Cricetulus griseus: one gene and its partners. The protein of the gene in region 6 purifies or fractionates together with the protein of the main gene of each other region. This does not show direct contact. Links are inferred from orthologs where the notes say so. Each region holds a gene or a part of one and is shown on either strand. Other genes may lie near its edges. The genes, in order: Strn, Strn3, Strn4, Nck2, Cnot9, Mink1 and Strip1.

Region 1 (3,500 bases), about 79 Mb from region 6:
TTAACATTAAAGCAAAACTATTTAATCCCTTTATTCAAATATGCTAAAAAACTTTAAACTTAAAATATATATTGACACATGAATTTCTATGGCTTTTAGAACCATTCTCAAGCTAGTTAAACTAAAATGTTGAAGATAATTTGTATATCGTACATTAGAAATTATTTCCAGACTAAAAACCAATGTCGATGTATTTTTTGGGCATATTATGTTATAAAATTAGTATGTTGGGATGTAAAGATTTTTTAATTAGAAAGGTAGCCAAGACTTCTGTGGAACTCATCTCCTCTTACATTGTGATTAGAGTTTAGCCTTTCAGATCTAAACCTGCACCATTTGACTGGAATAGTATTCCTACTAGCAGAAGCAATTGAGTTCCCTGCTCCTGGGGATTGATAACTATATTTAAATATATAGCACATGGGCTTTTTAAATGAAGAAGTGTTAACTCTCTGGGGAGAAATGTGAATGATTTGCACTGACGATAAGGAGTGTAGACTAAGGCCAGCACATTTTATTTATTCTTTTCACTTGTTATTTGGTTAAAACAGTAATATGAGGACAAGTGAAGACCTGTGATAAAGAGGAAAATGAAGTAAAGCTTTGAATTGGTATAAGAAACATTAATTTATAAGCCACCAAAATATACTTTTTAATTGAGCTGTTACCCACTGTAAACTTCTTGTTGTTTTTAATTGGTCTACTGTAAGTATATCCAGTCAAATTGTGTACTCCAGTCACATTATCTTTAATTTTCTAGGAATTAGTTAAAATAGCTTAGAAATAGTTGTATTCTTTGCTATGGTATGTATAGGAAATACCATAACGGACTATGGGTAAGATTTTCCCATTCTTAATTAAACTTGTAACAGGAAAAACTACCGAAGATCTGTTTCAGCCTCTATCCTATATAAAACAGTCAAAACAGGGATGTGGGAGAATGAAGAATCAAAGCCCAGGTAAGTGACAATAGGGCATGAGACTTCACTTTGGGTTCCATAGCTGCAGGATGTAAGGCAATGAATGTAACTTAATTTAAACAAGCAGAGACGTTATTTTTCAATTGAGTTTACATTTGGTTCATGATCTGTGATTGTCTTCATTTAGACCAATAGTCATTGGGTTCATTGTAGATGAATATGACTTTTAATGATACATATTGGACATGGCATTCTTTTTCATGTAGTGATTCCATTAACTTAATTTATAAAACATGTATTTAAATATCATTTTTTTCCAGAAATGATAAACTCTTAAACTTTGAAAACCTCGAAAATAACTACTTCTTATTGATCACTCTAGTAGGACATTTTAAAGGTGAATGTTGGCAGATGTGAAAAAGTTTATTGTACAGTTTTTATGAAATGAGTGATTCTGTTTTCTCTTTTGTTTTTTCTCCTCTGCGCCCCCCCCCCCTTTTTTTTTTTTTGGCTAGGGCCCAACAGGTCAAAACTACAAGACATGCTTGCTAATTTGAGAGATGTAGATGAACTTCCTTCATTGCAGCCGTCTGTTGGCTCCCCTTCCAGACCCAGCAGCTCTAGGCTCCCTGAGCAAGAGATCAGGAGGGCAGATGAAGGTGAGCACCTGGACCTGTGGCTGGTACAGGCACCTTAGAGAGCACCCAGCCCGCACACACTGCTTTCTTAAGTCAGTGGGGATGACTCCAGCTTCGGGTGAGAGGCATAAATTTTAGAACTGCTCTTAGTTTCTGCTTTGGAATATGCCCTAGCTCCATTGACAAGAGTGGTAACAGGCTTATTCAGTTCAGCCTTGAGAAAATTGAGTCTAAAATTGGTACTAAATGTTCACTGTGAAAGTCAGCATACTTAATTTATCATTGATTTTAAAAATGAAGGAACACCAGATATGGTGATACATGCTTTAATCCTAGCACTCAGAGGCAGAGGAAACCAGTTCTCTGAGAGTTTGAAGCCAACCTGTCTCCAGAGCAAGTTCCAGAGCAGTCAAAGGTGGCATAGTGAGATCCTATCTCAAAGCAACAGCAAAATGGAGGGAAAGTTACCTGGTTTCTTGCTTCCCATGTTTCCATTGCCTTTCAAAAGTCCTTATCCACTTGCATATTTTTTTAAACATAATTACAGCCATTATGTAGAATAGCTCTGTTTTGTTTTATGTTTAACATAAAATCATATGTTGATAATTTTTCAAGCTCAGCTTTAATGCTACATATTACACTTGGTGATAGAGCATGTTCCTATCACACAGAGCTCAGTTTTAACTCCTGCACTAGGGTAGAGGAGTGAGTGAAGGAGACAGATGGTGTCCCCTTGATGTCATATTAGAATTCCAGTTAGTTTTTTAAAAGCTCTTTAAGGGCATCAGTATTTAGTTACCCAAAGCACTGTAACCTGTTTCTTAACTTCTGAGGCTAAAGAGAACAAGATGCCTACCTTCTTAGAGACATGATGTGCCTGTTGCTTTCTCTGACTACTGACTAGACCTTCTTAGACTATTAGTTAGTACTAACCCATGCTGTGGCCAGTCTCAGGAGACTTACTGTTTCAGGACAAGCGAATTTATAGAAGTGGGCTGGGCAATGGTGGTGTACAGCTTTAAACCCAGAACTCAGGAGGTAGAGGCAGGTGGATCTCAGTAAGATCAAGGCCAGCCTGGTCTACAGAGTGTAGAGGCAGGTGGATCTCAGTAAGTTCAAGGCCAGCCTGGTCTACAGAGTGTAGAGGCAGGTGGATCTCAGTAAGTTCAAGGCCAGCCTGGTCTACAGAGTGAGTTCCAGGACAGCCAGGACTGTTACCTAGAGAAACTCTGTCTCAAAAAACAAATGAGAGAGAGAGAGAGAGAGAGAGAGAGAGAGAGAGATTAGAAATGAAAAACAGAATAAACTAAAGACAACTGCTGAATACCTAGTCTCCCAGGCACACATGAAGTATTTGATATTTTGGCCTGAAAATTACTGTTTGGACAGTTTCCACTATGCAAACACTAGGGTTCTTTGAACCCTTCAAATGACATGCAGCATTTAGATGAGGCTCATTTTTATTAATGCTACTCTTGTGTGTATGTGGTTTGATAGTGGTTTAATTTATATTCTATTTTATTCTACAGTAACTGTCTTTTTCCTGATGAAGATTTTGAGTTTCTGTTACTACTACTAGGTTTTTGTCACCATTTATCCCTGACTAGCCTGAGCTGGTTAAATAGACCAGGCTGGCCTTGAGGTTCCTCTGCCTGTGCCTCCAGAGTGCTGGGACTAAAGGTGTGCACCACCACACCCAGACACCACTACTGTTTTAAGGCCAGCTATTAAAAGCAAGCAACTATTATTTAATGTCTTCAACAAGTACCTATTATTAAACATGATTAACTGTAGCACTGAAAAACAACTTTTAAGTCTGTTGTGTACTGGATATAATTAACTCACTTCTTTGTTTAAAAATAACATCTCTTTAGCAAATCTTTTGAATTGTTAAATTCATCTTAAATATTTGTAGTCAGTGAAGCAGCCTCTGGAAAAGGCA
Region 2 (3,500 bases), on a different chromosome or scaffold from region 6:
ATCTCATCTTGTGATGCTGGAAACTCAACCCAGGACCTCTGCAAGAGCAGCAGGTGCTTTTAACCACTGAGATGTCTCTAGATTATAGTGAAAGGTTTGAGGAAACCTTTTGATGCTTGTCTATTGATGTATTAAAGATAACTGTGGCAAATTCTATTTATTGTCTTTTTATCTAGTGGTTTTTTATTTTTATAGTTGGAAATTTTGCTGTTTGTATCCTGCTGATAGCCCTGGAGTATAGGTGGATCCTTTATATTGTTATGACTCATAACTACTGTACTTCTGTCTAAGCAGAACTGGAGGTCCTGGAACTCATTCTGTACATCACGCTTGCCTCGAACTCAGAGGTCCGCCTGCTTCTGCCTCCTGATTCCTGGGACTAAAGACATGTACCACCACTACCCAAATGTATTCTTTTCTTTACTCCAGTTTTTGTGTTATTTGCCATTTGATTGTACCAGGCCTTTTCCTTTGGACCACCAACCAGCTCCCAAATCATGATACAGAGACTTATGAGTTTTGAATGTTTGGACTAGCTAAGGCTCGTTTCTGGTTAGGCTTTTTAACTTAAATTTACCTGTTTTTCTTCATCTGCCTTTTGCCTCTTTATCTTCTCTACTTGTGGCTGCTTTGTGTCCTTAGCTGTACCTTAAACATGATGCATCCTCTTTTTTTAGTATCATTTGATCACTTGCTGCCCACTGGTCAATTTCACCAGAGTATGAATAAAACCAAAGCCTTAGTTCAGTCTTGCCTTCTGATCTCCAATTCTAATTAACTCATGGAAAAAAGCAATAGAATCAAGTGGATGATATTAACCACTAGCTTACGTCATACAGAGAACCTCGATCTATACCCCATTCACTATTCCTACTGCCCTCAGTGGGGGTTCCAAACTCATACCATATCTCAGCATAATCACTCATACTTTCAGTAGTGATCCTCTGCTTCCACTTAGAACATGAGATTAGAATTCTTTCAAATTTTTACTTTGCTTTCTATAATAGGTTTAAGCATCTTATTTGTTACCCATTTCCAGATTCTTCTACATCACTAAAACCTGAACTACAGAGTTTTGAGGGGAAAGGGCACTAGAATAATTAGCAGAGTTTGAACTAAAGTCTTAATAATACGGGTCAAGTCAGGTAGCTTTGAGGAACTTGCAGAGAAAATCCCAGGACACAGTCTTAATCTCTGTCTGGTTGGTTGTCTACTTCTGTTAATTAGTTTTATTGTTTTCTTCTGAAGAAAAACTACTTGTTTTCCCCATGTGACAGCTTCCCCTTCCTCCATTTTTTATCCAGGTTGTGTAAGACCTTGGTAGTTACTTTAGACCAAAGTTTAGAGACTAGGGTAGGGTAGGGAAAGGAATTGTTTCCATCACATGTAGATTGCAATGTCATATTGGATTCTAACTTAATTACTTGGCTTAGATAAGTGTTCTTTGAAAACCACAGAACCAGAGGAATGCTTTGGAATCTGAGATCCAAAAGGGGATTAGTCCTTGACAAATCACTGGCCTAGAACTTAGCATGGTGCTGTTCTGAGGCTCAGGTCTACTTATTCTCTCATATACCTTGGATATTAAAAAAGAAAAACCAAAAACGTACGTGTGTGTGTGTGTGTGTGTGTGTGTGTGTGTGTGTGTGTGTGTGTGTGTGTGTGTAAATTCACATACCTATTTAAAAGATATGTATGTGTCTGGATGGAGGTATGCCTTTATACGTGTGTGTGTGTGTGTGTGTGTGTGTGTGTGTGTGTGTGTGTGTATTTCAAAAGCTTTTTTAAAGCTCTGAGTCTTTTTTAGATATTGAGATAAAGGGCTCTTAATCAGAGGTACCCACACTATCTTCTCTTCTCCCCTCCCCTCCCCTCCCCTCCCCTTTTCTTGCTTTGTCAAGACAGGGTTTCTAGCTCTGGCTATCTTGGAATTTCTCTGTATACCAGACTGGCCTCAACTCAAGATCCATCTGTCTCTGCATCCTGAGTTCTTTGATTAAAGGTGTGTGCCACAACACCCCACCTTACTTCAATTTTTTTAAAGACTATTTTTTTGTGTGTGTGTGTGTACTAGTGTTGTCTGGATATATGCATATGTACCACATGTGTTCCGGGTGCCCACGTAAGTCAGAACAGGATGTTGATACCCTGAAACTGGCGTTATGGGTGGTTGTGAGCCACTGTGTGAGCATTATCTCCAGCCCCTGTATTTCAATTTTGACTTACAGTTGACATCATTCTCTTAGAACTGGAACTAGTCTATAGTGGAGCTATTGAGACAAAGAAAAAGTATTTTGTGTGATTATGGAGTTTTCTTAAAAAAATAATAATATGATTTTATGGTGGCAGGTGTTAACAGTGTGTTGTTTTTAAAATTATATTTATTTTATGTGCATTGGTATTTTGCCTGCATATATGTCTGTGTGAGGGTGTCAGATCTTGGAGTTACAAATAGTAAGCTGCCAGGTGGGTGCTGGGAATTGAACCCAGGTCTTCTGGAAGAGCATTCAGTGCTCTTTTTTTTTTTTTTTTTAAAGATTTTTGTTTATTTATTTATTTATTTATTATGTATACAACATTCTGCTTCCATGTATATCTGCACACCAGAAGAGGGCACCAGATCTCATAACGGATGGTTGTGAGCCACCACGAGGTTGCTGGAAATTGAACTCAGGACCTCTGGATGAGCAGTCAGTGCTCTTAACCTCTGAGCCATCTCTCCAGCTCCCGTATTCAGTGTTCTTAATCCTGAGCCATTTCTAACCCCCAGTATGTTGAATTTTAATGTTTAATTTTCTTTTGATAGGTATCTTCAGGAAGTAGGATACACAGATACAATACTAGATGTACGATCTCAACGGGTAAGGTCATTACTTGGACTGTCTAATTCAGAACCAAATGGATCCATAGAAGCAAAGAATTTAGAACAGATCCTGAATGGTGGTGAATCTCCTAAACAAAAAGGACAAGAAATCAAAAGGTATGATTTGTAGGTTAACATTGTTTAACTTTACATACATTAAAGGTGGTTGTATGGCAGAGACTTTTCATTGTGAATGTCAATTTTAGCTAGATTTTTCTGCAGTTGTTCTTATTGTTAGACATGAAATGACTGAAGACACCTTTTTGTATACATAGGAACTCAAAGTAATTTCAGTAAAGATTATTGCTATTGTCTGTTACATGATTAGTTTTGAAATACTTGAAATATTTTAACAGATTAAAGATACTTTTTTTTTCTACATAAGAAATCTATAAAATGTCTGTCTCTTGGGTCCTGGAACCCTGACTATGGGAGCATTCTTCAGGCCATAAGTTTCTGGGGAAGGGAGTAGAAAGCTACTGTGTACATTTCTACACACACTGTCAACATTCACAGTTGAATCAGAGGAAGACTTGCATCCCTCTGAGCCTCATCCTGGAAAGGGTTTGCCACCCTATGGGGCTATTGCTCATGTCCTTATTATTCTCTAGGTAGATCTGGCTGGCCTATAACTTAG
Region 3 (3,500 bases), on a different chromosome or scaffold from region 6:
ATCTCTGGCTTTCCAGAAGGGTGCCTATTACATGGTGGTGATTTTTTTTTTTTTTTTTTTTTTTTTAATTTGGTTTTTCGAGACAGGGTTTCTCTGTGGCTTTGGAGGCTGCCCTGGAACTAGCTCTTGTAGACCAGGCTGGCCTCGAACTCACAGAGATCCGCCTGCCTCTGTCTCCCGAGTGCTGGGATTAAAGGCGTGCGCCTCCACCGCCCACCGCCCACCGCCCCGCGGTGGTGGTGATTTTTATGGTGCTGGGGGGATGGACTCCAGGGCCTGGCCCACAGTAAGTAAGGGCTCAACCCTTAAGCCACATTCCACCCATGAGATTCTGAACATTATATAACCTAGCTAATCTATACAGAGGATTTGATAATACTTAGTCAAAGCATTACAAAACCTAAGAACAGTAAAAGCAGAGTCCCGGCTCTTAACACAGTACAGAGCACACCACTCTCAACTCGGGGCACCTCTCCAAGTGTTGGGGTGGATGGTGGAGATGCCAATGTGTACAGGGTCATATTTGCTCAGAAGTGGTACTATTTACTTCTCAGGTATCCTAAAATGCTAAAATCTTTAACAAAAATCCTGATTTGGCTGGAGGCTGGTGGTCCACCAATTCTGTTTGGGCCTCTCTTCTCTTAAGACATAGGACAGCTCACCTCTCAGAGGGCAAGTCAACAGGGCTCACCAGGTCCTCTGAGAACCTGGGTTGAACCCACAGCACCCAGGTACTACTATTGCTATAATTTAACTTTACTCTTTAAAAAATAACTTCCCCTAACATTATTCTTTTAAGAGGAAATGTCAGAGAACTATGCAGGGTTGAGTTTGGGGTGTGGGAAGGTGGCCCCTGCTGCAAGTCTTCCCTCTAATTCCCGTCGGGTGACGGCAGTGTGGGATCCTGATAGTTCATGTCCCAGTGGGGACAGGAAGGACTGTGGATTCCTTGGGCTTATCTTCTGAGCCAAGTATGCTGTGTGTTTCATGCCCCATCCTGTCCCACCCCTCCCCCTCACTCACTGTCGCAGAAGCTGTCGCCCCTCCTTCCACACCAACGGGCTGTTCTCCAGTGTGACCGACTCCACAGGGCCATTAGACACTAGAGAGAAGAGAGGAGGCCGTCTCAGTCGGGGCATGGATACTTTCCTGTCACCCCTCCATCCTCTCCCATCAAGTCTGAATCTGCCACCATCACCGCCCTTGTCCCCACCTCCTGAGTGCATTCCACCCACTCTCCCACACCAAGTGACTCCTCTCTTGGATGCTCTCCTCACTGCTAGGCTTCTGACTGGCCGCTGCCAACCGCCCCCAATAACAGAGCCGTGCCTCCACACGCATGGCTGGCTGCTCCTTCCTATGCAGGGAGTGGGCAGACTGGCTCTACAAAGTGGGCAGGCTGGGGTCGAGTCGGCTCTGCACTTCCTAGAGCAGCTCTGAGCACCTACGAAAGCCTGCTTCCCATGAAACAGCTTTCACCTCTCAGGGTGAGGAGACGCTGGCTGGGAAACCTGCTCTGTGCATTGCTCATCGGGTATCCACTGGGCATCTATAAGGCTGGGATAGACGCCTGGGCCACACCAATCAAGAACTCACATCTTGGCAGGAGAAGATGACCTCCCTCCCTTGACCCCGAGGCCAAGGGCTTCACAAAGCCCTAGACCAAGCTCCCAGCATCAGCGGCACAGCCAAACACACCGTCTACCCGCACTGCCTGGATACTAGTGCTCACCTGAAAACACCCATCCCCTCCCTCCCATGGGCATCTGGCCCCTCCTCCAGTGCCCACAGAACAGGACTACATCTATCCTGCTCTTCACCGTGCCCCTGTCCTGTGACAGGAAGCCAACAAACACATCATGTATCAACTTTTGAGGGTAAATGACTGAATGACAGTCCAGTGCAAACACCACCTCTTCAGTGACGTCTTTCCTACGCTTTCCAAAGCATGCCATAAATAGTTCCACTCACTCCCCTAGCAGGAGGAAGCAGGAGCTGCTGGGGCGTCCATCACGCCCTGAGGACAGCAGGATGGCAGGCAGGTGGGGCTGGGCAGTCTGAAACAGGACTGATGGGAAGACACACCAGCATGCAGCTCTACCCCACTCCACCCTACAGCCACTGCTGCTTTTCAAGGAGCCAAGTAAGAAAGCACAGGAGGCCATCTGCAACGTCTCTCTCTATGCCAAGCAGCTGCCATGCCAGCGTGGCCAAGGGAGGGTGCAAGTGCAGGTACCTTGTTCGGACACATCTGTCTTCTTCTCCCCCTGGTTCAGGTCTGTCCCGAACTTCAGCTTATGGTATTTGGCCCTAAAACAGCAAATAACAAATGAGTAGAGATGAGTAGACAGGGCGATGCTGGGTGGTGGGGGCGCTCGCCTTTAGTCCCAACACTTGGGAGGCAGAGGTAGACAAATCTCCACGAGTTCAAAGCCAGCCTGGTCTACAAAGCAAGTTTCAGGACAGTCAGAGCTATACAGAAAGGCCCTGTCTCGAAAAACAAGACAAAAAAGCAGACAAGGCAAAGACCACCTCAGAAAGCCCAAGTCCCAGGCCTCTTTCATTCACTCCCTGCCCCACAGTACCAGCTCTAAGAGCCTCAGTTCCTTCCCAGAACCTCAGCCAGCAACACCATCAGACTGTGGCAAGAATAAGCAAGGTAGCAGCTGTCCAGAATTGGTGCACACAGGTTTGCCAAAGTCCCTAAAGCTGCTGCTGGCAGCTGAATCCACCCACCACAATCTGTTTCACCCCGCTCCTGGGGATGACGGGAAGAGGAAGGTGGAGAAACTTCCTCTGCTGGCAGCCTGCCACCCTATCTGAAACAGTGACCTCTCTGGCAGGGGCAGCTCTCACCTCTCCTGCTTTAGTGCATATTCTAGCATCTTGATCCGCCGCACCAGGTCCGTCTTTAGATTCTCTTGGCCTTTCCTCTCACCTTGGAGGAAAGCCACCTGAGCCTGGGACAGAAGAGAAAGTTAGATAGCATGGCTGAGGGTCACTGATGCTGTGTCTCCCTCCCCAGTTCAGGAACAGCTTCAGGGCCTCCCCCACAGCGATGCCAGTGTTCAATAAGAAGAGAGGACAGGCTGGGCCCACCTCCAGGGTCTCCGGGTCTACTACCCATAAAAGAGCTCAATCTATAATCTCAGCACTTGGGAGGCTGAGGCAAAGGGACTGCTACACCTTCAAGTCTAGTATGAGCTAAGATTAAGACTCTACCTTACAAAGAAGAAAAGGAAAAAGAAAAGAAAGAGAAGCTGAGGAGCCATTTTTAACCCATGGAGTTCAAACAGGGACAGCATGGCCTGACTTGGCTATGGCCTTCTGAGGAGTTAGGTCAGGGATGGGCGGGGGCGTTAAGCATTAACAGCTGTGTCCCTATGGTTGCTGGTGGAGGCGGCAGCCCACTCTTCCTTCAGAGCGTCTGTTGCTGGGAGGCGTAGGAAGCTACTTCTGGCACTCAGGGACAAGAGTAGGAGCCTGGGCTCAGCTCCCAC
Region 4 (3,930 bases), on a different chromosome or scaffold from region 6:
GAATACCAGACAAAAGCCATCTTGTCTCCATAAACACTAGCACACACATACATACAGAAAACATCCATCTCACAATGAAAACACCACACCCTTTTTGGGAATACTGTTGTCTGATGCTTGGAAGACAACTACTCACAGACAGAGACGGGCTGGCCAGAAAAGTAAGAATGGGAACGAAAGACCTTACAACAAGATGCTGGACTTCAGACAACAGCAAAAGTGTCACCTGTCTGCAGGAAAACTAGATGGGCTAGGGTTTGAGAAGGAGCTATTGAATTTAGATACAAGATGCCACTGGGGACCTGGGGACTTGCTGTAAAGAGACTCTCTCTCTCTCTCTCTCTCTCTCTCTCTCTCTCTCTCTCTATATATATATATATATATATATATATATATGCATTTGATTGGGGGCTTACTTATAATTTCAGAGACATAGTCCATTATCATTAAGGCAGGGAGCATGTCAGCAAGCAGGCAGGCATGCAGTGGAGAGACACACTGGGCCTGGCCTAGCTTTTGAAACCTCAAAGCCCACCCCCAGTGACACACCGCCACCCACAAGGACACACCTCCTAATCCAAATAGTTCACCAATTGGGGATTAACCATATGAGCCTATGGGAGCCATTCTTCTTCAAACCTCCCTAGGGATTTAATAGTAAGAGAAGCAGTCTGAGGCCACTATTCAAAGAAAAGGCTAAAAAAGCTGGGTCTGTATTGTCCTACCTTATTTAGAGTGAATGGATTTTAAATACGGTTAAACTATTGATTACCGTTCTGCTTTCCTTATTGTAAAGCTAGATATTAGCAGGATGAGGTCTGCACAAAAGAATGAAAGGAGATAGCATCTCCGACTGGAAGGGGATGTCGGATATGCTGATTTTGTACCTAATGCTTTTTGGTCGGGCTATGTGCCAGATACTTTACATGGGAAGCAGGCAAACATCTCACGTGATAAAGTTGAGAAAGGTTGTGAAAGACACGTGTAAGGTGACACAGTTCAGGAAGCCTACAATCGTGCTATGATTACAAAGCCAAGCTTCCTCAGGTTACCCATGGCTGGAAACTTCCTTTAGGGAGGGAGGCAGCTGACTGGCCACTTAGGGTGAATTGTTTCTGCCTTGATAAGGAGGAGCCAAGGGCCAGGGTAGAATCTCATTAACATAAATGCGAGCTACCCAACCAGAAACTGAATTCATTTGAATATTAAGGCTTCCTTTGGAGAACCATGAGAGAAGGAGCTTGGAGAAGAAACATCTGGATTCCGGTGTGTAAGGCGTATGTGTTCCTTCCTCTTGTTCTAGGGTTCTAGCTTTCTAAATTTGCTTACAGGTTAGCCACTACTCAAGGCTGGTTGAGCGAGGGCGCCTTCCCAGCCTTCTCCTGTGCTAAATGAGAAATCCCAGGCTCCATAGAGCTGGCCTGGGCGCCCGGGAGGCAGCGGAGGTCGGGTTTCCTCTCCTCCCCCTAGGAAGTGGTCCCGCCTGAGAGGATGGAGTAAAAAAAGTGTCTGGTTGGGAAAGTAAATAGATGCAAGGCAAATAAATAAAGAAAATGCCCACAAGCAATTACTGGGAGGAAGTGACATTTTTATGTAAGTCACTTTTCTGACGGACACCAGGCCAGCTTGGCCGAGAGTGCCGTGGGAATGCTTTCGGGGAGGGGGGGTGATGGGGTGGTCGCTGTAAGAATCCAAGGCACAGCGGGGGTGCGGAGACCACCCGGTGGGACTAGCGGGCTGGAAGTAGCACTGCATTCTTTCCTCGTTCCCCTGCCCGCCCCCCAACTCCGATCGAGAGCGGGTTGCTGCCTAAAGCCCGCAGGCGGCGCTTTTCCCGGGCCCGGCCGGGACTCCCAGGTGGGTCCCCCGCCCGGCGCGCGCCGAGCTGGGCCGGCCCCTGGGCGGCGTCACGACAGCCGGGGAGGAGCGCGGGCGGGCGGGGAGCGCGCGGAGGCGGGCGCTGCGCGGGAGGGTCGCCGCCGCGGATCGCAGGCCGGGGCGCGCGGCCGAGCGGGCGGCGGCGGCGGCGGCGGGGAGGGCTCGGCAACGGGCAGGGCTCGGGGCTCCCGGCCGGCGGGGTCCGCCCGGGCCGGCAGCGTCCGCCCGGCGGCGGGAGGAGGGAGCGGCGTAGACAAAGAGCGGCATTTGGGCGGGCGCAGCGCGGCCGCCGCCCCGGGACCCGCGCCTCTGCCCTCCGGCCTCGGCGTGCGGTGTATAGAGAGGTAAGGCGACGGGCGGGGGGCTGCAAACTTGGTTGGGTCGGTAGAGTTGGGAGAGAGGGGCCGGCGGGCAGGGGCCGCCCGGGAAGGAGCAGGGAGCGCGTCCCCCCTGCGCGCCCCGCTGGTGCCCTCGGCCCCGCCGCGGCCTGGGCGTCCCCGGGTACCCGCACCTCGGAAACACACCTTTCTGCGAGCCCTCGCCTTCCCCAGCCTTGGGCTGGCGTGGGGGTGGGGCGCCCTCCTCGGGCTGACACCGGGGACCAGGACCGAGAGCCCCCGGGAGCACAAGCAGCCCTGGCCTGCGGGCGGGCGGGCGTGGGACCGAGCCGTGGCCCGGTCGCCGGGCGCGCGTGCCTGGGAAGAATAGCCTGGGATCTAAGGGCCCCGGCGCTAGGAAGCTAGGGGCTGCGATGGCCGGGGAGAACTTACTGTATTTAGAACTATAAGTGATCCGGCACAAAGCTACTGTCACGTCTCATACAAGAGGTCCGTGCCTCGGTGCAGGGCGCTTTTATGCCAGGTTCCAGTCCGTGTGCCCTGCCCCTCATTCCCAAGGCTTAAACCTCCAGAGCCAAAGTTTCTCTCAGCCGCCTTGCCCCTTCGGTTTGTTCAGGGCGATTTAAGCAAGTGGTTTTTGCAAGAATTTGATGTGGGACTTTTAATGCCCCGACGGCACCTCCCTTTTGAGCACTGTTAGCTTGGCATTGTGTGGAGGGGTTTGATTTGCAAAACGCTGTAATTTATACACTGTAACGATTCTCCCGGAAGGTGTGCGCGGGACTCTGGGTGGTGGTTAATGGATAGCAGACGTGACTTACAGTAGTATTGTGAATAGCTTGGGGACACAGCTGGGCGCTAAATAGCGTGGGCCCTGCCACCCTAGCCTGTTCAGGTCGGCAGTTTGTCCCTTATTTACTTTTCCTTATTTTGCTAAGAGGTTTAAAGGCTAATCCTGCCAAGTTTGAGTCTGTGTCTGGGATGAACAGGTCCCAGTTTGGGTTGGAGGTGCCCAGGCCTGCTCCTTGGTTGACCCCAAATGAAACAGCCCATTGGCCAGTGGGCATGGCCTGGAGACTCCTTTGCTGCTCCTCACCCATTGCAGGCTTTTCTGCAGGGGTTTTGAGGAGGAATGAAAATAATTTTGCATGTGTTTCAAGCCTGGGTTTTGGGTATAGTTATCAACAGTGGTTTTCTAGTGTAAAGGTCACCACTTTATCAAAACATCGTGGGCACTCCCCTCCATTCACTTTCCAAGTGTTTATAGATACAGAGATTTAGAAACAGACATTCGTGTTTAATATAGCGAAGGCAGCCAGTGGACACAAGGAGAAAGTGCACTTCAGTTAGTTAAGGTTTTAGACCTTGGGGATTGTTCCTAAATGACCACAAGGGACAGTCCTACCTTAAACTTTCTCACATTCTAGTCGGTTAATGTAGTTTTGATGGAAGAAAGAAAGGTCCCAGTGGTCTGAGGCTAAAATTGAGAACTTTGTGCGGCCGTAAAACTTGGAGTTACAGCCCCACCACCTGCCTTGCTCTCAGCCTCTTAGATGTGCAGCGACTCCTGGGTGGGGAGTTGCTGAATGAGCCCTGGCTGCTTGAGAGTTGATCAGCCCACCTGTGGAGAGACTGGCCCCTTTAAAATGGGCAGAGCAGATACAAGGTGGTTTCCAGCTCCCCGTAGTCCGATTCCAGGCTCTCAGTTTTGCAT
Region 5 (4,171 bases), on a different chromosome or scaffold from region 6:
TGGAATATAGAGAGAAATGGAAGGGCAACAGAAGAGAACCCCAGCCCAAAGCCAAGTCATTTTACCTTGACAAATTTCCCACCAAGACAACTGATTACATCTGTCACTAGGTTTTTAAGTCCCTTGTTTACCTTTTGCCAGTATGCAACGCTATTCTTTCCTCTCTTTACCCGTTATTACACGTTATTAATCATCTCAATGCTGCCGAAGCACCCTTCCTTTCTAGCACTTGTACTCTTCTTTAGGCAATGTCATGCATAGGCATGTCCCAAATTTAACATGGCAAGTGACTCACATAACATACAAACACACATGTATTTATTTGTATGTCTGGCCCAGAACCTTCCTCTTACCTTTAACCCAATAAACCCAAATTGCTCCTTAATATTCTCTTTCAGCTGGACTCATAAGGGACTGTAGCTCGCCAAAATACACCCGAAAACCATTACAGCACAACTCTCCAAAGACAGGGAACTTGATTTAAAATTGGTAAATTGGACATCGCCGGTGTTGGCTAGATACTGGAGGCAACCAAATAAATGCACGACAAGCATTCCACTCCCTGACTTTCAATGAACAGTTTTTAAGAGGAGGAGGGAAGTAACGAAGGGCCCAGAGGGCGAATGAGTATCACACATCCAAGGTCTGGTGTGTGGCCACGGGAAGTCACCTGTAAAGACAGCAGGCCTTGTTAGGAGGCAAGCCGAGACCACCGCAGCCCTGCTCAACAGGAGCCGGGCTTAGAACGCGGAAAGCGAGTGGCAATACGGACCGTGTTGAAGGAGAGGGAAAGTGGAGGGGAGACACTCCAATGGGCGCACCTGTAAGGGACCCGGGGAGCGTCCAGGGACCCGGGGCGGGCTGAGCAGCAGCCGGGCGAACTCCGGAGTGGGCGGACCGCCGGCTGTGGGGGGGGGGGGGTGAGGCTGGGGAAAACGGCTCAATTCACAGGCTGTCCCGGCCCGCCTTACCTGTGCCGGAGGGTCCCAGCCTAGGACGGGCCAGCCAGAAGCACAGGGTTTCCGCAGAGGGGGAGGAGCCGAGGGGCTCGGAAGGAAGGGGGCTCCCCTGGACCCAGAAAGGGAGGCCGTGCTCTCCTCTACACTCCTAAACCCGCTGATGGCGGGAACTGTGACTATACGCAAACACGTACGCACGCACGCACTCCCGACGCAGCCAGTCCGGGCGCGTGCGCGTCAGCGCTCAAGCCCCGCCCCCGAGCCCTCGGCCCGCCCCTCCCCGAGCCCTGCCCCTCACCCGGGCGGCCCGGCCCCTGCCGTGACGGAACCGTAGGACACATGCGCACTCTCCATTTTACCGACTTCGGACCTCCCACCATTTTCCCTTCGCTCGGCTCAGCCCGGTGGAGCATGCGCAGTTCGCGTCCTTCCATACCGCCGGCCTTTTCCCGCCCTTCTCTGGCCTTAGGAGGGAAGTCAGGGTCCGCGCTCCTCTGGGGATATACCTGCGATGCCGGGGGGTTACTAGGACCCGTAGGTTGCAGACGTCGTTCTGATCCTGACTCTCGAGTGTCAAAGGGCGTACATACTCTGGGACTATTAGCTAGGCCGAGGGCCAGGAGGCGGGAAGGGGCTGTGTGGGTGGAGGGTCAGAGGTGAGAGGTCAGAGGGCTGCCAAGGGGGAGGAGCGAGCCGGAGGCGGATGGCGGCTCTTCATCTCCGGCTGCACAGCCGCTGAAGCTGGGACGCGGGTCCGGCGCGTCGGGCGGGAGGAGGAGAGCGGCGGCCGCTCCCAACATGCACAGCCTGGCGACGGCGGCGGTGAGTGGCTGCGCCCGGATGCCCGTCTCAGCCCGCTTCCTAGTTCCCGGAGCCGGGCCCCGAGTCCAGCTGCTTCTGCCCCTGGCCGCGAGGTCCGGGAGTCTCCACACGGCGCCCTGGCCGTGGCGGAGTCCGACCCTCCCAGCTATCCCTGCCGCCGCGTCCGTCTCTTCTCCTGGCCCCTTGCGCGCGGCCTCTCGCGTTCTTTTCCGGCGCCGCGGCCTGGTCCCCGCGCGGCCTCGGCAGGCCATTCATTGATTCACGTGAGCCCGGCGTCAGTTTCTGGGGGCCACGGTCGAGTGCCGGGCCTCGGCGGGGATAAGAATATCATTCCATGGCCATTCGCTCTGGGCCCCGGCTCCGGGAACACGTCGCCTAGGCACAATCTCAGTGGGAAGGACACGGCTTCTAGCTCAAAAGCCGGAGCCCCGGAGTTCAGGATGATTCCTTCTGGCTTACGGTCCTCTGCGTTTAAAGCCTTCCTCGCACATCTCGTTTTATCTTTTAACAAGAAAAGCTAGTCGCCGTATTACACCTCCCTGAAGTCATCCTGTGGCTTTTGGTTACTTTTAGAGAAAGTAGATGCTTTGGCCTACAAGCCCCGTATGATGTGGTCCTTAGTCACGTTTTAATGGGCTCCGTTTTTGTCACTTGCTCCTTAAGCTCCGACCAAAAGTGCATGCACTTTTCCACTGAATGACACAGTCTCTAGTTTCTTTGCCTGGAATTGTCCTTCTTAGGACTGCCTCCATACATACAAGTCTGTCCCCAGAGTGACTTTCTGACCATGTTCACAGTAGCTTCTAACCCCAACATTTACTCTTGTATTGATTTTCCAGTGTGTAATTACTGGATTATTTAACTTGTGGGATGTCTGTCTCCCTCTCGGGGTCAGGGACAGGATTGTGTGTGTGTGTGTGAATTCTGTTTACTTGGTTTTCCCACTGCTAGAACAGTTCCTACAAGGTAAGCACTATGCACTCTGACAACCGTATGGAAAGAGGGATAATTTAAGAACACTTACAAGCCTGGTAATGGCGCATGCTTTAAATCCCAGCACTTGGAAGGCAGAGGCAGGTGAATCTCTGTGTTTGAGGCCAGCTTGTTTCACAGAACAAATAGAGGGCTGCCAAGGCAAAACGGAAAAAAAAAAGTTCTCAGTATGTATTTCTTCAATTATATTTGCAGTGCTGTACATAGATTAAAAAACTTGAACATTTGTTATGCTGTTTGACCCACGTGGCGGCTCTGACAAGTTCTTTTGTACCACTCATCTGGTAGGATATTTAGTGAGGATACTGAAGAATAAAAATTTGAGGCAGCGGGCGTTGGTGCCGCATGCCTTTAATCCCAGCACTCGGGAGGCAGAGGCAGGAGGATCTCTGTGAGTTCGAGGCCAGCCTGGTCTACAGATCAAGTTTCAAGATAACCTCCAAAGCAATACGGAGAAACTCTGTCTCGAGGGGAAAAAAAATTGAGGCAGTTCCTTCATAATCCCGTATTCCCATAAGCATCCAAACTCCTTATGTTATTTTGATCTGAGCAAGAAAAACAAAATTATGATGTACTAGGATCACATGCAGCAATACCCACAAAAACCTAAATCTTTTGAGAAGGCGCTTGGTTTTTGTTTAATAATGAAAACTAGTGTGTATGTGTTCATATTGTGGGTGTGCATGTGTGGAGGTCAGAGTCAGTTTGGGGGTTGTTCCTCTTTACTATATATAGCTAGGGAGATAGGAAGTACTATTAAAGGGCAATGAATGCAGGTGTTATTTACTAGAGAAACAGTAGCAAAAGACACTGAGGTAGTGTGCTCTTGTCATTATGGAATATATTCTAATATCTGTTATCAAAAAAAGTGTTTTGTTTTTTTTCCTATCGTGGGCAGAAAACAATGAAGGGCTATTTACAAAATTAGTAAGTGTAAGGGCATAAACGGACATGGCTAAGCAGGTGAGAGGTCAAATCCCAGCACTCACATAAAAAGTCAGCTGTGACTCCCATGTGTGCAACCCCAGACAGCTCTGGGGTTAGAGAATCAATAATCACTAGGGGTTGCTAACTACTAGCCTCGCCTGGAAGGAATATGGCCAGGAATGATTGAGGAGCTCTCTGTGCACACATATATATACCACACACATGCTCATACCATGTAAAAAAGTAGAATGCTACTGATGTTTAAAAAAAAAAAAAAAAGATGAGATGCTTGCCTCCAAGCCTGGTGACCTGAGTTTGTTGACAGAACCCACTGGTGGGAAAAGAGAAATAACTCCCACAGGTCATTCTCTTAACTTTCACACATGCACCATGGCACATACACGTACTCAGTAAGTAAATGAGGAAAAGAAAACCCCCAAAACTAAATAGTTGGTCTTTGGCTAGGTTCT
Region 6 (3,500 bases):
CTCCACAATCCCCTAAGTGTTACCCTTCTCTGCCACTCGTGTCCTGATTGACAGCTTCTTCCCCTCTAGCATCACAGTCCTTGTTGAAGTGATGACACCTTGTTCTTCTCCCTCCTCCCAGGACCCTGCAGGAATCTTTGAGCTGGTGGAGGTGGTTGGCAATGGAACCTATGGACAGGTATACAAGGTGAGACATGGGACAGAAATACAACCTTCAGACCAGTGGGGCCCTCTTTAGAGCAACCGAGGAAGTGGATCCCAGGACTGGCAATCTGAGGGAAGCTATAGGAGATGACAGAGGCTGGGAGCCCCTCAAATTGGGAAAAAAAGCACAGACTACAGAGAGCAGCAACAGAAAGAAGGGAGACATCATCTCTGAGTGTAGACATGTTCCTGGGTATGGCAGGAACCTGGCTGCAGCTGATGGTTGTGGGATAGGAAGCAGGAAGAGCACATGGGGATGTGGGTGTCAGGGCTTACCTGGAAATTCACAATTCATGCCAGAAGTGTGGGTTGACACCTCCCAAGCCCACAAGGAGGCTTGGGGTTGATGGGCCCTCACTGGTGGCCTGCAGAGAGGAAGCAGCTTTCTTGACCTCCTGCAGCTGCTTGCCCCAGGGAGCACGCCAGAGCCCCAGCCTCCTGCTTTTGAACTGCTTTTCCTCCCACAGAAGTGGCATTTCCTCTACCCCTGATTAGCTTTACAGCTTGGCCAGCTTAGCCCTCTCAAGTAGCCAGAGCTCTGCCCGTACATGAAGTCTCCACAATGAAAGGGATATTTAGGGTGGGTGCTGTCCACAGAACATTTAGTCTGCTTCCTTATCTCAGGGCACGGCTCCTGACATTTCTTTCCACCGGTGTCTTGCCTCTCTGAGTCTCCTGGTCACTGAGACCACCAGCCTTTCTTTCATCTACCCCTTTCCTTTTGTAAGCATGGGCTTTGGGGGAACAGGCAGTGCACAGCTCCTGCTGAGTCGTGTCCATATAGATAGCTGTGCCTTTCTGTACTTGGGATCGTGGGTGGCTGCTGAAGAAAACAGGACTTGGGGTGGCAATTCCCATGTCCTTCCCATGAGTGGCTGCTGTCCCATCCTGCTCTGCTCAGGAAGCTTGGGACTTTCTTGTCCAAGCCATTGATAGTTCTTAACAAAGGATTTCAGAAGGGTGGATGGGGTGGGGTTGGAATTGAGGTAGAGAAGCTGTGACACAAACACTCTGAAAGGTTTCCCACCATTAAGACTGGTGACTAGAGGTGTAGCACACACCAGTTGGTCCCTTTGCTTACTTGTGTTTCCTACACTCAGCTGTGAGTCTGTTCTTTCCCTGATAACATAAAACACCTTGGGCATGAGATTGATCCAGGGAAAGGCCTTCTATCGAGAGTGGCTTGGCCAGGAAAGCACCAGACATTTTATCTTACATAGATGAAGGAGAGGGTTAGCCCCTTTCCAGCCTGCATTAGGATATGGGAGTTTCTAACTTGCTGGAACAGAGCAGTGGCATCCATCCTGCACCTCAGGTGTTGTATAGAAGAGCTGTCTTCTTTGTTGAACGTTATCTTTACAGCCTAGAAATAAATGTCTAGGCTGTTCTGTGTTAGCTGTGATGGCTCAGGGCCTCCCCTCTGCCTTCTGCTCTGTAAAAGCAAGGCTTCTGCCCACATGAAGGGCATGTTCTAAGGTAGAAAAGCACTAAGAGACAGGGCTCTCCCCAAAATTAGTTCCTCTTTGTTATTTTACTAAGTGAGCATATACCTGACCTCTCCACATTCTCTATACTCGACTTTCTTGCAGGGTCGGCATGTCAAGACTGGGCAGCTGGCTGCCATTAAGGTCATGGATGTCACAGAGGTAGGAAATGAGGTGGGGAAGGGTGGGGTTGGCATCGAAAAGGGACTGTAGGATCTCAGGCCTTACCCCCCCTCCCCCTTTTGCCTTAGGACGAGGAGGAAGAGATCAAACAGGAAATCAACATGTTAAAAAAGTACTCTCACCATCGAAATATTGCCACCTACTATGGGGCCTTTATCAAGAAAAGCCCCCCTGGGAACGATGACCAGCTCTGGGTAAGAAATGCCCCTCCTGCCCCTCCCAGACGTCTCTGCTCCAGACCGCTCATGTGGAACTCAAGGCCAATATCTGTTCTAACATCCCTGCCTTAATTATGGATCCAAAGGAGCCTCATGACTCACTCAGAACTCTACTTTTCAGTCTGTATGCCCAGGGTCTTGTTCCCTTGTGTGTTTAGTGTCAGGAATCCTAGTGTTTGGCCCCTCCACCTGGCACTTTACCCTGACAGGTCAGCAAGCACTGCTTGACGAGTGAGCAATAGAGTCTTGGTCATAGCCAGAAGATGTGGTTGGAGATGAGGGGTGGCTTAGTTCTTAAGTTCTTTGTGCCTTTGAAAACAATTTTGGGAGAGCCATAGAATCAAAGTAGCTATAGGAAACAATAGGACTCAGGCCCATCCTGGCAGTATACAGCCCTTCTGGGTGATGATTTGAACCAGAGCCTACACAAATAAATACCTCCTGGCCCAGATCATTCCTAAGAGTCATTTGCTCCCTAGCTTGGACACTGGTGCCACCAATTTCCTGGCCTCAGCCTTTGTGGTACTGGGCCCATAAGCTGAGGGGAGAGTGGCAAAGGACATCATTGTGGCTATTGGGAGTTTTGGAGAACATGCTAGAAGTCGGCTGGACTCTAGCTGTTTAATAAGCATCTTCTATCTACCCTTCAAATTTGAGCATGAGTCATAGTTCCAGTCTCAATGGCTTCAAGGATTTGGGGGGACACATGCAGCTCACGTAGTTGTGTATAGTGGGAGACCACTGGGAACTGGTAGCTAGGCAATAGTGGCCAAACACTCTCATATTAATGTATGGGGTACTGGACTGCTTCTCCACCCACCGTGCTGTCCCGGTGATGGGGCACATGAAAATTAACTTTGATTGCATAGCAAACATACCAGTCCCAACCTAAATTAGATGCCAATTTTAGTGAAAAACGGTTGGAAAAAATTGCTCCCTCTAGCAGCACACTAAGTGGAGCCCCATGAACTTCCCTAGCAGACTCAGCCCTTCTTGCCTCTGAATCGAGAATGTTGAGCATTTTTGTGAAAAGTCCAAATAGTAAATGCTTTAGGCTTTCTTGGTCATGTTTGCTCTTATCATTACTCAGTTCTGCTGACACTCTGTGAAAGCAATAGATAGTACATAGACAAATGAGCATGACTAGCTGAGCATAGTGGCTCACACAGAGGCTGAGGGCAGGAGTTTCATAAGTGTGAGACTGCCCGGGGTTACATAAAAAGACCCTCACTCAAACAGAACCAAACATAACTGTGCCTTAATTCTCAGGTTTATATTTAGGTCACAAAAATTTGGTATTATTCTCATGTGTCATGAAATAGAACTCTGGGTATTTGTGGGATTGTTTTGGTTTTCTCCCCCTAATTATTAAATGTGGTGAAAACATGCTGAGGAGATAGCTCAGTTGGAA
Region 7 (3,500 bases), on a different chromosome or scaffold from region 6:
ACTGTCACTGAGTGAACTTCTAAGTAAATCAGGAACTAGATGGGCAGCATCATGGGGAAGATGGAAGTTGTGTCTGGCTGGATCATTTGGGAGATGGGTAGATGGGATTCCTAAGGCTGACCTCTGAAGTGTTTGTGGGATTTGGTCCTTTACCAGAGGGTTCTGGAATCCATCCCCACTATGGATGCCTAGGCAGAAGGTGCTGTGTGTGTGCTGGCGACTCATCAGGCACTTGTGTTTCTAGCACCACAGTGTTGCAGAGCATGAAGCTGGGGGTGGATGTGAACCGCCACAAGGAGGTCATCGTTAAGGCCATTTCTGCTGTGCTGCTGCTGCTGCTCAAGCACTTTAAGTTGAACCACATCTACCAGGTACCTGTAGGGTCTGTCTGCCTTCGTGTGCACTGCGCCTGTGCCTCAGTCCATACTGCTCCCTAACCCGAGAATAGGGCTTGGCTTTGAGCCCACTTAAGCTCTCTGCATGAGCATTCTAATATGAGATTATCCAGCCAAGGCTTTTTGTCTCTAGAGAAAAGAGAATAAGAGGCATGCTTATTTTTCTTCTGTTGGTTTCAGTTTGAATACATGGCTCAGCACCTGGTCTTTGCCAACTGCATTCCTTTGATCCTGAAGTTCTTCAATCAAAATATCATGTCCTACATCACTGCCAAGAACAGGTGATAAGGACCAGGGCCAAGAAAGGGTAGAATAGGCAAATGGCAGGATTTCTATCTGGCCTCTCCATTGAGACTCCTCAGCAGACATTTTTCTGAGCATCTATGAGTCAACACTTTGCCAGGCATCAGGAGACAAAATGAATGACAGTGTGTCTGTTTTGAGGTTAGCTAGTCTAGTGACTTTGTTTTTGACCAGGAGGCTCTCATCCTAAGCTCCAGAATTGCCTTCACTACTACTTCTATCCTTCTTCCCTTTCCCCTCACAGTTCTCTGTAAGGAGCTTGGCCTTCCTTAACACCCACCTTGTGCCCGCTGGACCTGATAGCACCTGCTTATCAGTGTGAGACATCACAAGGGAAGTGTCTGGGTAGCTGTGGCTTCTAAGAGAGCTTGGCATACATCAATTGTCTTGAGCCCTACCTCCTAGATTCATGTTATGGGGAAAGCTGCAGGTTACTAATTAGATTATAAACTGAACCTGTCATAGGGAAACTTTCCACATGTATTGTAGCAGATAGTTCCTCATCTTATAGTCAGGGTTAGAGCAAGTAAGGTAGATTGCTACTTCTGCTTCAGTTTAAATCATGGCTACTGACAGACCCAGCCTTTACTCACGGTGCACACTGTGTCTTCTTGCATTCTTCAGCATTTCTGTCCTGGATTACCCTCACTGCGTGGTAAATGAGCTTCCAGAGTTAACTGCAGAGAGTCTGGTGAGTGGCTGGGATTGCCCTGGCTATTCCTTTGTTATGAGGGTTGCCTCCTGCAAAGCAAAGATAGAGGAATCTTTCAGATGAGGTCACCTTTGGCTTTTAAAATGCCAGAAATGGCCATAAAGTTGGGGAGGGATTTTATAGGGCAGAACACCTGGGATAGGTTAGGGCTAGTCAGGGAGCATGTTCTGCAGGGGCTGCTGACCTAGAACTTGCCTACTCAAGCTGCTTGCATCTTCCCACTGAAGTCTGGGGCTATGGTTCCTGGTTTTATGGCCCATGCTTCCTTCAGGAAAAGTCTATTGAGTCCCTGCTTCTCTTTCAACTTGTGGGATGGAGTTTCCCTTTGGCTGTGAGACAGAGAACTTGATGCTAGAAGCATTGACACATGGCCACTGTGGTATATTTGTCAAGGCCATTGGACACTGCTGAGCAGCCTGTGGCTGCTTTTCCTTTTCCTTTTCCCTGCAGGAAGCTGGTGACAACAACCAGTTTTGCTGGAGGAACCTCTTTTCTTGCATTAATCTTCTTCGGATCTTGAACAAACTAACAAAATGGAAACACTCAAGGACCATGGTGAGTCACTGCTGCAGCAAGTCTGGAACTGGGAACTCACAGAGGAGTGCCACGTGCTATGCCTCCCCTCACCTGGGGCAGGGAGTCCTCAGGGTGGAGCTTTTGTTTTTTGTTTGTTTGTTTTAAGATTTTATTTATTATATATACAACATTCTACTTCCATGTATATCTGTACACCAGAAGGGGGCACCAGATCTCATAACAGATGGTTGTGAGCCACCATGTGGTTGCTGGGAATTGAACTCAGGACCTCTGGAAGAGCAGTTGGTGCTCTTAACCTCTGAGCCATCTCTCCAGCCCCTGATTGTTTGTTTTTTGAGACAGGGTTTCTCTGTGTAGCTTTGGAGCCTATCCTGGCACTTGCTCTGGAGACCAGGCTGGCCTTGAACTCACAGAGATCCACCTGCCTCTGCCTCCCAAGTGCTGGGATTAAAGGCATGTGCCACCAACGCCTGACGAGGATGGAGCTTTTGAGGCAGCATTGTCCTTACTCAGTTCTGCAGACATCTGGTTCTTGGTAGAAGCAGAAGCTGGTAGAGACTCTCAGTCATGCACTGAAACAAATCCACCCTTACAGATACATCTTCCGTAGCCTCTTGATCCTGATTGGGAAATGATAGTCAGGGGTCCGAGAGCCGCCTTATCCCTGATCCTGACCTTTGGACAGGGCAGGTCCATGAATTCTCAGAAAGGAGATTACAGAGTGACCCATAATTAGGGTGACCAACCCTTGTGGTTTGCCGTAGCTGTGCTAGTTTTAGTGCTTAAAGTTTTCTCTGTGTACCAGAAAACCAGTGAGTTTAGGAGAAACTGCATGGCTTGTCGCCCTGTTCCCTACCTGGCAAGTGTTAAGTGACCATGTAGTGGCACACACACTTACTCCTTTCCTTGCAATGGCTGTCACTGTGTCCACACAGATGCTGGTGGTGTTCAAGTCGGCACCCATCCTGAAGCGGGCCCTGAAGGTGAAGCAAGCCATGATGCAGCTCTATGTGCTAAAGCTGCTCAAAGTGCAGACCAAATACTTGGGGCGACAGTGGCGCAAGAGCAACATGAAGACAATGTCTGCCATCTACCAGAAGGTGCGACATCGGCTGAACGACGACTGGGCATACGGCAATGGTAAGGCCATTTGGGAAGCAAGATTGGAAGAGGGTGGGACAAGGCACACTTTTGACTCCTTGCCTCTGGTACCTTAGCTGTTTCTACCCTGAGGCACAGACGGGGCCTGGCTAGCTGGGCGGTGGTGGTGCACACCTTTAATCCCAGTATTTTGGAGGTAGAGACAGGCGATCTCTGTGAGTTTGACACCATCCTGGTCTACAAGAGCTAGTTCCAGGACAGGCTCTAAAAGTACAAAGGAAAACCCTGTCTTGAAAAACAAAAAACAAAAACAAAAAAAAAAGGAACCTGGCTCTAGTTTTTGTGGCACCAAGAAGGGAGCACCAGGCAAAAGTGGAAAACTGCTCAGTGTCTGTGGTCATCTGTTTCTCCATCTCTCTACTCTAAATCATGTCTTTTCTAGAAATTGCCAT

The links.
Region 1: the proteins of Mink1 (region 6) and Strn purify together in Homo sapiens (affinity purification with mass spectrometry; 3 studies listed by BioGRID and IntAct, with this or other methods). This does not show direct contact. The link is inferred for Cricetulus griseus from reciprocal best matches to the Homo sapiens genes MINK1 and STRN.
Region 2: the proteins of Mink1 (region 6) and Strn3 purify together in Homo sapiens (affinity purification with mass spectrometry; 3 studies listed by BioGRID and IntAct, with this or other methods). This does not show direct contact. The link is inferred for Cricetulus griseus from reciprocal best matches to the Homo sapiens genes MINK1 and STRN3.
Region 3: the proteins of Mink1 (region 6) and Strn4 purify together in Homo sapiens (affinity purification with mass spectrometry; 3 studies listed by BioGRID and IntAct, with this or other methods). This does not show direct contact. The link is inferred for Cricetulus griseus from reciprocal best matches to the Homo sapiens genes MINK1 and STRN4.
Region 4: the proteins of Mink1 (region 6) and Nck2 purify together in Homo sapiens (affinity purification with mass spectrometry; 3 studies listed by BioGRID and IntAct, counting the BioPlex papers as one, with this or other methods). This does not show direct contact. The link is inferred for Cricetulus griseus from reciprocal best matches to the Homo sapiens genes MINK1 and NCK2.
Region 5: the proteins of Mink1 (region 6) and Cnot9 purify together in Homo sapiens (affinity purification with mass spectrometry; 3 studies listed by BioGRID and IntAct, with this or other methods). This does not show direct contact. The link is inferred for Cricetulus griseus from reciprocal best matches to the Homo sapiens genes MINK1 and CNOT9.
Region 7: the proteins of Mink1 (region 6) and Strip1 purify together in Homo sapiens (affinity purification with mass spectrometry; 3 studies listed by BioGRID and IntAct, with this or other methods). This does not show direct contact. The link is inferred for Cricetulus griseus from reciprocal best matches to the Homo sapiens genes MINK1 and STRIP1.

Annotation. Positions count from the first base shown.
Region 1 is NC_048600.1:5,360,587-5,364,086, forward strand, and holds part of Strn (striatin), read left to right. Parts: intron 1-872; coding exon 873-959; intron 960-1,435; coding exon 1,436-1,579; intron 1,580-3,500. UniProt on the Homo sapiens protein: Calmodulin-binding scaffolding protein which is the center of the striatin-interacting phosphatase and kinase (STRIPAK) complexes.
Region 2 is NC_048598.1:150,631,855-150,635,354, forward strand, and holds part of Strn3 (striatin-3), read left to right. Parts: intron 1-2,806; coding exon 2,807-2,980; intron 2,981-3,500. UniProt on the Homo sapiens protein: Calmodulin-binding scaffolding protein which is the center of the striatin-interacting phosphatase and kinase (STRIPAK) complexes.
Region 3 is NC_048602.1:11,451,216-11,454,715, reverse strand, and holds part of Strn4 (striatin-4), read right to left. Parts: intron 2,964-3,500; coding exon 2,857-2,963; intron 2,311-2,856; coding exon 2,237-2,310; intron 1,103-2,236; coding exon 1,024-1,102; intron 1-1,023. UniProt on the Homo sapiens protein: Calmodulin-binding scaffolding protein which is the center of the striatin-interacting phosphatase and kinase (STRIPAK) complexes.
Region 4 is NW_023276807.1:5,069,783-5,073,712, reverse strand, and holds the start of Nck2 (cytoplasmic protein NCK2), read left to right. Parts: upstream 1-1,130; 5' UTR 1,131-1,266; exon of another isoform or gene 1,267-1,277; intron 1,278-2,035; exon of another isoform or gene 2,036-2,222; intron 2,223-3,930. UniProt on the Homo sapiens protein: Adapter protein which associates with tyrosine-phosphorylated growth factor receptors or their cellular substrates. Maintains low levels of EIF2S1 phosphorylation by promoting its dephosphorylation by PP1.
Region 5 is NC_048595.1:427,755,696-427,759,866, forward strand, and holds the start of Cnot9 (CCR4-NOT transcription complex subunit 9), read left to right. Parts: upstream 1-1,371; 5' UTR 1,372-1,757; coding exon 1,758-1,781; intron 1,782-4,171. UniProt on the Homo sapiens protein: Component of the CCR4-NOT complex which is one of the major cellular mRNA deadenylases and is linked to various cellular processes including bulk mRNA degradation, miRNA-mediated repression, translational repression during translational initiation and general transcription regulation.
Region 6 is NC_048600.1:84,406,482-84,409,981, forward strand, and holds part of Mink1 (misshapen-like kinase 1), read left to right. Parts: intron 1-121; coding exon 122-187; intron 188-1,793; coding exon 1,794-1,850; intron 1,851-1,939; coding exon 1,940-2,065; intron 2,066-3,500. UniProt on the Homo sapiens protein: Serine/threonine kinase which acts as a negative regulator of Ras-related Rap2-mediated signal transduction to control neuronal structure and AMPA receptor trafficking.
Region 7 is NW_023276806.1:49,542,704-49,546,203, forward strand, and holds part of Strip1 (striatin-interacting protein 1), read left to right. Parts: intron 1-244; coding exon 245-371; intron 372-575; coding exon 576-676; intron 677-1,322; coding exon 1,323-1,389; intron 1,390-1,860; coding exon 1,861-1,965; intron 1,966-2,882; coding exon 2,883-3,087; intron 3,088-3,500. UniProt on the Homo sapiens protein: Plays a role in the regulation of cell morphology and cytoskeletal organization. Required in the cortical actin filament dynamics and cell shape. Part of the striatin-interacting phosphatase and kinase (STRIPAK) complexes.